2 linked regions of the Arabidopsis thaliana genome follow. Each later gene encodes a partner of the first gene's protein in a complex. Links are inferred from orthologs where the notes say so. Each region holds a gene or a part of one and is shown in the gene's direction. Other genes may lie near its edges. The genes, in order: AT3G03990 and MAX2.

Evidence for each region.
Region 2: the proteins of AT3G03990 (region 1) and MAX2 are in contact, whole or in part, in a cryo-EM structure (PDB 8IF6), measured with the Oryza sativa proteins. The link is inferred for Arabidopsis thaliana from one-to-one orthologs. Residues at the interface, in NP_001404251.1 of Oryza sativa: Asn61, Arg63, Gly66, Ser67, Asp81, Ser83, Leu89, Arg97, Gly107, Ser108, Pro111, Ala135, Arg137, Pro211, Asp217, Pro219, Ala220, Val222, Gln223, Ser226, Arg227, Asn231; in NP_001411525.1 of Oryza sativa: Gly109, Gly110, Ser113, Ser115, Ser116, Ser118, Tyr596, Ala597, Leu598, Thr599, Pro601, Asp634, Asp636, Val637, His666, His668, Leu696, Met697, Thr699, Arg702.

The regions. Positions count from the first base shown.
Region 1 is NC_003074.8:1,031,671-1,035,810, forward strand, and holds AT3G03990 (alpha/beta-Hydrolases superfamily protein), read left to right. Parts: upstream 1-1,908; 5' UTR 1,909-2,117; coding exon 2,118-2,921; 3' UTR 2,922-3,567; downstream 3,568-4,140. Other genes in the region: AT3G03980 (NAD(P)-binding Rossmann-fold superfamily protein), read left to right, coding at 116-519, 1,003-1,411; AT3G04000 (NAD(P)-binding Rossmann-fold superfamily protein), read left to right, coding at 3,830-4,140. UniProt on the Arabidopsis thaliana protein: Involved in strigolactone signaling pathway. Does not move long distances acropetally in the plant to regulate shoot branching and is rapidly degraded in the presence of strigolactones.
Region 2 is NC_003071.7:17,753,931-17,759,035, forward strand, and holds MAX2 (RNI-like superfamily protein), read left to right. Parts: upstream 1-2,138; 5' UTR 2,139-2,239; coding exon 2,240-4,321; 3' UTR 4,322-4,538; downstream 4,539-5,105. Other genes in the region: AT2G42640 (Mitogen activated protein kinase kinase kinase-like protein), read right to left, coding at 4,602-4,684, 4,779-4,851, 4,936-5,105. UniProt on the Arabidopsis thaliana protein: Component of SCF(ASK-cullin-F-box) E3 ubiquitin ligase complexes, which may mediate the ubiquitination and subsequent proteasomal degradation of target proteins. Promotes the senescence. Is necessary for responses to strigolactones and karrikins.

The DNA.
Region 1 (4,140 bases):
AAGTTAGGGGCTGATTTGTAAAACAATATGAATGAACTTATAATGAGGGCCAATCCCAATTTATCTTCTTCACTCCAATCACATCACTGCTAAGACTCATTGAATTCAAATCGTTATGTCTACACATTCATCAATCTCGCAACCGCCGCTTCCTCTCGCCGGAAGAGTCGCCATTGTCACCGGCTCTTCCCGTGGTATTGGCCGAGCGATAGCGATCCACTTAGCTGAACTCGGTGCGAGGATTGTTATCAACTACACCTCTAAAGCCGCAGACGCCGAGCGTGTCGCGTCGGAGATCAATGATTTTCCAGTTAGGGAAGAAATCACTGGAAAGGGACCAAGAGCTATTGTGGTTCAGGCCAATGTCTCTGAGCCAAGCCAGGTTAAATCAATGTTTGATGCGGCGGAGAGTGCCTTTGAAGCGCCGGTTCACATTCTGGTTAACTCTGCTGGGATTCTCGATCCAAAGTACCCTACGATCGCAGACACATCAGTCGAAGATTTCGATCATACGTTCAGGTATATACTCGATACTGTTCGTTGATTGGGTTCGTTATAGAAAGCTGATTCCTTTAGAGAATTTATCTTCATTGATTGGGTTCTTGTCTTCCCGCTCAATACTGGAAAAGTAAACTTTTTTTTGTTAATTAGTTAGGTTGATGATTATGTATAAGTTCTTGATCAATTGTTACATGTTCTATGATTTTGAGTTAGAAAGCTGATTCCTTTAGTATATTTCAACTGAGATTTTAGTGGAATCTGTGTTCTTGTTCACTCTCCATGAACCATGAAATTATATGTTCCGTGTTCTTTAGATTTGTATGTCTAATTATGAGTCAAATGCAACATGTCTCGTGTTCTTGTGGCTAATTAATCGACTTATGTTTCTTGTTTCATCCAATGTTCCATGTTCGTGAGATTTGTATGTCTAATTTCCAACTAAAGTTCCTTCATTCTTGTTTCCAATAATCCTCTGTTTGTTTCTTTTAAAATGGAGTGTAGTGTCAACACAAAAGGAGCGTTCCTGTGTAGCAAGGAAGCTGCCAATAGGCTAAAACAAGGAGGTGGTGGTCGGATCATACTTCTGACATCTTCCCAGACTCGATCTTTAAAGCCAGGGTTTGGTGCCTATGCCGCATCAAAGGCAGCTGTGGAAACTATGGTCAAGATTCTTGCAAAAGAGCTCAAAGGAACAGGAATCACTGCAAACTGTGTTGCTCCAGGACCCATCGCCACTGAGATGTTCTTTGATGGAAAGACCCCAGAGTTGGTGGAAAAGATAGCCGCAGAGTCTCCCTTTGGGAGGGTCGGCGAAGCCAAAGACGTGGTGCCTCTTGTTGGATTCTTGGCTGGTGACGGTGGTGAATGGGTCAATGGTCAAATCATTCCTGTTAATGGTGGATATGTATAAAAGAGTTCGTCTTGAGAGGAGCCTCTTCCTGATACCTTGAGAAGCAAATGTAGGGGTTAACTTGTTAGAAATAAAACATTGGGTTCAATTGGAATAATAATAATAATAAACACTGAGGTTGAAAATAAATGTCTTAACCATCTTAATAAAACACTCGTGACTCACCTATGTCCAAAAAAATATATCCAAATTTCTTCTTCTTTTTTTGTCGACATCCTTTTGTTGTTGTCGTCGACATCTAACTTTTGAATTTCTTAAAAACCTTATGTTTAATTTACAAACTCGTGTCTTCGTACTGACACATTCATTGGAACCACTTTATGTTTTATATAATTCAATTTATCATCACCCACCATTCGAATAATCTTTGGGATAAACGTCGTTTGTTGAAATACAACTACAGAATAAAAAAATGGTTTAAGAATATGGCAAGTGCAACAACACCTAAAAGTCTAAAAACAATATCCTTGAAGCATCTTAAATCTCTTAAAATATATCAGATGTGTGACGAATAATCAACGCATGCTCTTGTATCCATAAACTTCAAAAGCCAATCGAAAGTATTGGATAATAATAATAATAAATGCAGTGGAAAAAAAAAGATGATAAAGGAATTTTCATTACACACACACACCTACCCAAACAAGTTTTTATATAAACAGTATCCAACTCTCTTCTTTACCCTCAAACCCAAACACATAAAAAAATGAGTCAACACAACATCTTAGAAGCTCTAAATGTCCGGGTCGTGGGTACGGGTGATCGGATCCTGTTTTTGGCCCATGGATTCGGTACTGACCAATCAGCTTGGCACTTGATCCTTCCTTACTTCACTCAAAACTACAGAGTCGTCCTCTATGACCTAGTTTGCGCCGGCAGTGTCAACCCCGATTACTTCGATTTCAATCGTTACACAACTCTCGATCCTTACGTCGATGATCTTCTCAACATCGTTGATTCACTCGGAATCCAAAACTGTGCTTACGTTGGTCACTCTGTTTCCGCTATGATCGGAATCATCGCTTCGATTCGTCGGCCGGAGCTTTTCTCCAAGCTTATCTTGATCGGATTTTCGCCTAGGTTTCTCAACGACGAGGATTATCATGGAGGATTCGAAGAAGGTGAGATTGAGAAAGTTTTCTCAGCTATGGAAGCTAATTACGAAGCTTGGGTTCATGGATTTGCTCCGCTTGCTGTTGGAGCTGATGTTCCGGCGGCGGTTAGAGAATTTAGCCGGACTTTGTTTAATATGCGTCCGGATATATCTCTGTTTGTTTCGAGGACGGTTTTCAACAGCGATCTGAGAGGTGTGCTTGGGTTAGTTAGAGTTCCGACGTGTGTGATTCAGACGGCGAAGGATGTTTCTGTGCCGGCTTCGGTGGCGGAGTATCTTAGGTCTCATCTCGGTGGAGATACTACTGTGGAGACTCTTAAAACTGAAGGACATTTGCCGCAGCTTAGTGCTCCGGCGCAGCTTGCTCAGTTTCTCCGGCGAGCTCTTCCTCGGTGACTTTTTTTTATAGATATAAAAAGAGAACAATAAAATATAATTGGTGGAATATGGGTTTAGTGGGGTCCACGTATCGAAGAAAAGAAGGGCCTCTATTTGTGGAGGACAGTTTGGCATTGTCACAAATCTAGTAAGATAAGATTGTTCACTTGACACGTGACTTTCGCTTTTTTATCACTTTTTTTCTTGCTCTCTTCATTAGTTTATAATCACAAGTTTATTTCATAAAATAATTGGAGAATAACCAAAAAAAACATTAAAAAATCCTATCTTATCTTTTACTTTCCTCTGAATATTTCTATCCATATTGTTGTTTCTTGTAAGTTCCTGGACCTTGTATTGATTGACGTCTAACAACACATCGATGCAACAACAATCTTTAGTCTCAACACTTTCGATTGTTTTCTCTAATAAAATGATGGAGACAAAAAGATATAAAGTATACTAGAAAATTCTAGCATCACATCGTAAAAGTATCAACAACTAAAATGAAGCAACTATGGCTGACATAATCTTGATTTAAGTTTTATAGTATGCAACTATGCATGTGTGTTCTAAATAATTTTAAAGTTAATAAAATTGGTTAGTTGTATAATGTTGTTACCGTGCTATATATAATACAAGTTAAGATTTGAGAAAGTGAGTGTGTGAATTCTAGAAGACAATCACACAACGAAAACACGTCCTATCAATCTAAACTTTTGAGCAATTCAAAATGCATACGAATTGACAGGTTAAGACAAATCTAAAAACATTTTCAGCAATTCAATTTGCTTACGAATTTGACAGCATAAGACAAATCTAACCATCACCACTACAAATTGCTTGCTTACACTCTTTTAGCACGTTGTCATCATTTCTACCCTAAATATAGAAAAGTAAATTTATAGTAAAATCTACCTAACAGTATGGCTGCAGCGTCATCAGTTTCTTCTCCACCGCTTTGCCTCGCCGGTCGAGTAGCTATAGTCACAGGATCTTCTCGAGGAATAGGTCGTGCCATAGCCATCCACCTTGCCGAGCTTGGGGCTAGGGTCGTCGTTAATTACTCAACTAGCCCCGTTGAGGCTGAGAAGGTTGCCACGGCGATTACCACCAACTGTTCAAAGGACGCGGAAGTCGCCGGCAAAAGTCCACGTGTCATTGTGGTGAAGGCTGATATCTCAGAGCCGAGCCAGGTAAAGTCGCTTTTCGATGAGGCAGAGCGAGTCTTCGAGTC
Region 2 (5,105 bases), on another chromosome or scaffold:
TCCCTACTCACAACTAAGTGCCTTTGATCCAGGACCATGAGACGTCTTTTAGTTTAGCAAGTACAAATTGTACAACTTATTCCTTTTTTCTAATAATTTAAAATCATTCTTTATGGATGTTTTTGAATATTTATATCAACTAGAAATTAATCTGTAAAATTTTTAGAAAATATTTTAATGCATTTGACATGACCTCTAAATAGTTTGAAACGGTTGAATTGTATACATGGTTCATTGAATTATATTCACTTTGATAAGATAATATTGTATTACATTAACCAAATATATGCCCAAGTTAATTCAGCCAGTCTATAAGCATGGGCACAAAAACATGGTATAGGTCAGTGGATTTGAATATATTTAGTACATAGTCGCGTTTATATGTTGACGCATGTGTAATCACATGTATATGTATGCGTGTATGTGTTTTTGTGACCGGCAAGATGAGTAGGCAAGAGATAATGCATGCCCTACAAATCTTAAATTTCTCACTTTGTAAGGAAAAAGAGAAAAACGAAAAATAAAATTTAGTTGCAAATTTCTCACTATTGCTTTCGTGATTATGCTCACTGAGTTATCCATTAAGCTTTTTAAAAGTTAAACACTATTTTGAAAATATAAATTGTATTTACGTTGGAGAAATAATCAAAACCTATATTTTATTTAATTTGTAACATGACTGAGCGCCGCTTATTAAGCGGGAAACGTATCTAATTAAATACTCTTTGAACTGAATCGATTCACTGTATTGGATCTATATTTCTCTTAAAATGGAAATGAAGTTCAGCTTATCTTTTAGTTGTTGCATGCATTCTTACGTGATTCCAATTATGAATTTGGAAAAGACTCGATATTCTTACATATATGTTATGGGTTTGGGATTTATCTAGATCCTGATCTTATAGTAAAATTATCTGCAGTTTAAATACATTTCTGTACATGACACAAATCAGTGTTTTTGATGCTGTTTTATTCCGACTTCATCTCTTGTTGCAGTCAGTAACTTAATATTGGGGGTTTTCTTAATATTTTAAGGTTATTGAATTCTAAATCTTGCAAAATAGTTGTGTTTAGTTTTAGTTATTTTCCTATTAAAGCTCATGTCTATCAACAAAGAAGGTTGGTATTATTCTTGAGGGACATAAACAAATGTTAGATGCATGCACGGGAAAAAGGTGGATTGTTCTTTACAGGAAAAATATGCAATTCAAGTGGGAACATAAGGGAGAGAGAGGGATAGGTTGATTTTGACTCTTGCAATTTGATTATATAATATCAAATATGTATATTTGTTTAATGATTAAGAACAATTGTCAAGTTACGGCGATTCCATAATAATACGAATGATCTCACAAACAAAATTTGCTGTGCCTCTACCAAATGAAGTATTGGTCAACTTGTGACAATGGCGATGATTCAAATCTATTATCTCATACAATTTTTTTAAAGATAAGGTATTTTTTGTAAAACATTTGAAAGGAGCTTAAGTAACTATGACACATACTGCATGTACAGTAAAGCATACATGTACCCGTAATTACCAAATTCGAAGATCAAAGTTTCGAAATCTTTTGAGTCGGTTAATGTGTAAATCTCTCTTTATCATACCAAAGTACATGCATAGATTACAACTAAAAGCTGATGAGAACACACGAACGAAATGAAATAGTCAGGACATTACATGCAAGCATGCAACTTCGTATATCCTAAACCTTTCATTTTGATTAGTGATATAATGATATTTACATTCATAGAGAAAAAAGGGTATGCAACTATGATTTTGGTTTCTCCAAAATAGTATATCATCGTATAAGTACGCATAACAATCTTTTTGACCAATGACAACACAATCCCATTATCTATTGGTTATGAGTATTTTGATAAAGTAAGGATTTATAAAGTACAATTTGAGGATGAATATTTTGTAGGCTTAATTAAAGAATGTATGTTCTATTTTTTTTTTTTTTTTTTTTGACATCGTATGTTCTTATATAATTAACCTCAAAGATAATTTAGATTTAATCATTTAAATACATATGATTTTTCAATCAAATTACCTCAAAAAAGGAAAGAATTATAGTACTATCTATATTAAAAAGAAAAAAAACATAAAAGAAGAGAGAAGAAGAATGTCAGTATCATCACGTGGCTCTCTCTCTGCCCAACACAAATCTCTTCTTCTTCCTTCTTCCCTCTTTCTTCTTCTAAAATCTCCTCTCTTGTAGATTTGCCGCTTCTCATGGCTTCCACTACTCTCTCCGACCTCCCTGACGTCATCTTATCCACCATTTCCTCTCTCGTATCCGATTCCCGAGCTCGCAACTCTCTCTCCCTCGTCTCTCACAAATTCCTCGCTCTCGAACGATCCACTCGCTCTCACCTCACTATCCGTGGCAACGCTCGTGATCTCTCCCTCGTCCCCGACTGTTTCCGATCAATCTCACATCTCGATCTCTCTTTCCTCTCCCCATGGGGTCACACTCTTCTCGCTTCTCTCCCAATCGATCACCAGAACCTTCTCGCTCTCCGTCTCAAATTCTGTTTCCCTTTCGTCGAGTCTCTAAACGTCTACACACGATCTCCGAGCTCTCTCGAGCTTCTACTTCCTCAATGGCCGAGAATTCGCCACATCAAGCTCCTCCGATGGCATCAACGAGCTTCTCAGATCCCTACCGGTGGCGATTTTGTTCCTATTTTTGAACACTGTGGTGGTTTCCTTGAGTCTTTAGATCTCTCCAACTTCTATCACTGGACTGAAGACTTACCTCCTGTGCTTCTCCGCTATGCTGACGTGGCGGCGAGGCTTACACGGTTAGATCTCTTGACGGCGTCGTTCACCGAGGGATACAAATCAAGCGAAATCGTTAGTATCACCAAATCTTGCCCTAATTTGAAGACTTTTCGTGTAGCTTGTACGTTTGATCCGAGATACTTTGAATTCGTCGGAGACGAGACTCTCTCCGCCGTAGCTACCAGTTCCCCTAAGTTAACGCTTCTACACATGGTGGACACAGCTTCGTTGGCGAATCCTAGAGCTATTCCAGGTACGGAAGCTGGAGATTCAGCTGTCACGGCGGGGACGCTAATTGAAGTTTTCTCAGGTTTACCGAATCTAGAGGAGCTGGTTCTTGACGTAGGAAAGGATGTGAAGCATAGTGGTGTAGCTTTAGAGGCATTGAATTCTAAATGCAAGAAGTTAAGAGTATTGAAGCTAGGACAGTTCCAAGGTGTTTGCTCTGCTACAGAATGGAGGAGGCTCGACGGTGTGGCTTTATGTGGAGGATTGCAGTCGTTGTCGATTAAGAATTCCGGCGATTTGACTGATATGGGTTTGGTGGCTATAGGGAGAGGATGTTGTAAGTTGACTACGTTTGAGATTCAAGGGTGTGAGAATGTAACAGTGGATGGACTAAGAACAATGGTTAGTCTTCGGAGTAAGACTTTGACTGATGTGAGAATCTCTTGCTGCAAGAATCTTGACACAGCTGCTTCTTTAAAGGCAATTGAGCCGATTTGTGATCGGATCAAGAGACTGCATATAGACTGTGTGTGGTCTGGTTCAGAGGACGAGGAGGTAGAAGGAAGAGTGGAAACTAGTGAGGCTGACCACGAAGAGGAGGATGATGGTTACGAGAGGAGCCAGAAGAGGTGCAAGTATTCATTCGAGGAAGAACACTGCTCAACTAGTGATGTGAATGGATTCTGTTCTGAAGATAGAGTATGGGAGAAACTGGAGTATCTATCTTTATGGATCAATGTTGGAGAATTTTTGACGCCATTACCTATGACAGGACTAGATGACTGTCCGAATTTGGAAGAGATTAGGATCAAGATAGAAGGAGATTGCAGAGGTAAACGCAGGCCAGCCGAGCCAGAGTTTGGGTTAAGTTGTCTCGCTCTCTACCCAAAGCTCTCAAAGATGCAGTTAGATTGCGGGGACACAATCGGTTTCGCACTGACCGCACCGCCAATGCAGATGGATTTGAGTTTATGGGAAAGATTCTTCTTGACCGGAATTGGAAGCTTGAGCTTGAGCGAGCTTGATTATTGGCCACCACAGGATAGAGATGTTAACCAGAGGAGTCTCTCGCTTCCTGGAGCAGGTCTGTTACAAGAGTGCCTGACTTTGAGGAAGCTGTTCATCCATGGAACAGCTCATGAGCATTTCATGAACTTTTTGTTGAGAATCCCAAACTTAAGGGATGTACAGCTTAGAGCAGACTATTATCCGGCGCCGGAGAACGATATGAGCACAGAGATGAGAGTTGGTTCGTGTAGCCGATTCGAGGACCAATTGAACAGCCGCAACATCATTGACTGAAACTTGAAGAGTGAGTTACCTACACTATTATATCTGTATTGACTTCAGAAACTGGTCCATTTTATTTGTATGGTCAAGAGTGTTTTGTATATGTTTGTAAGAGGAAAGGACAAAGACTATAATTTGCGATGATTAATGATATCATAAAACAATAATCCATTTTTATAAATGATAAAACTCAAATGAAGAAGCCGGAGAGATCTGGAGTACAAACTCAATGAGTTTCTCACAACTAATGCCTCAACATATTACACACAGAAAGAACAAACAACTCACAGAATCAGCAAATCGGAATCTCGCAGGTCTTAAGACGGTGCAGTATCTCTTTACAGCTCGGCCTTTGCTCTGGTTCCGACCAACAATCTATAACAAGACAAAGTTTCCATAAGCATCTGTTTACTAAAATATAGCAAGGGTTCCAAAAGAAGCAACAGTTAGGTTTCGAGGAGTCACAAACCTGCAATAAGCTTCTGTAGTGGTCCTTCAGGTATTTTGAGCCGGGCTCCTTCGTTTGCAACGATATGAATGACCTGAAAGCAAAAATACCAAGAGCCGGGTTTAGATTCGATGTTTTTATTTAGTTACCAAGTGTTTTTCATGTTCAACGAACATACTTTTTCTTTTGGGACTCCTTTCCAGGGCTTGGATAGAGTGCTAAGTTCCCACATTATAACACCAAAGCTAAAGATGTCGCTTTTTTCTGTGACGGGTTCATTGCGGATAAGTTCAGGAGCCATCCACTCAGGAGTTCCTGCAGCTTCAGTATCTTTCACTGCCGTACCTG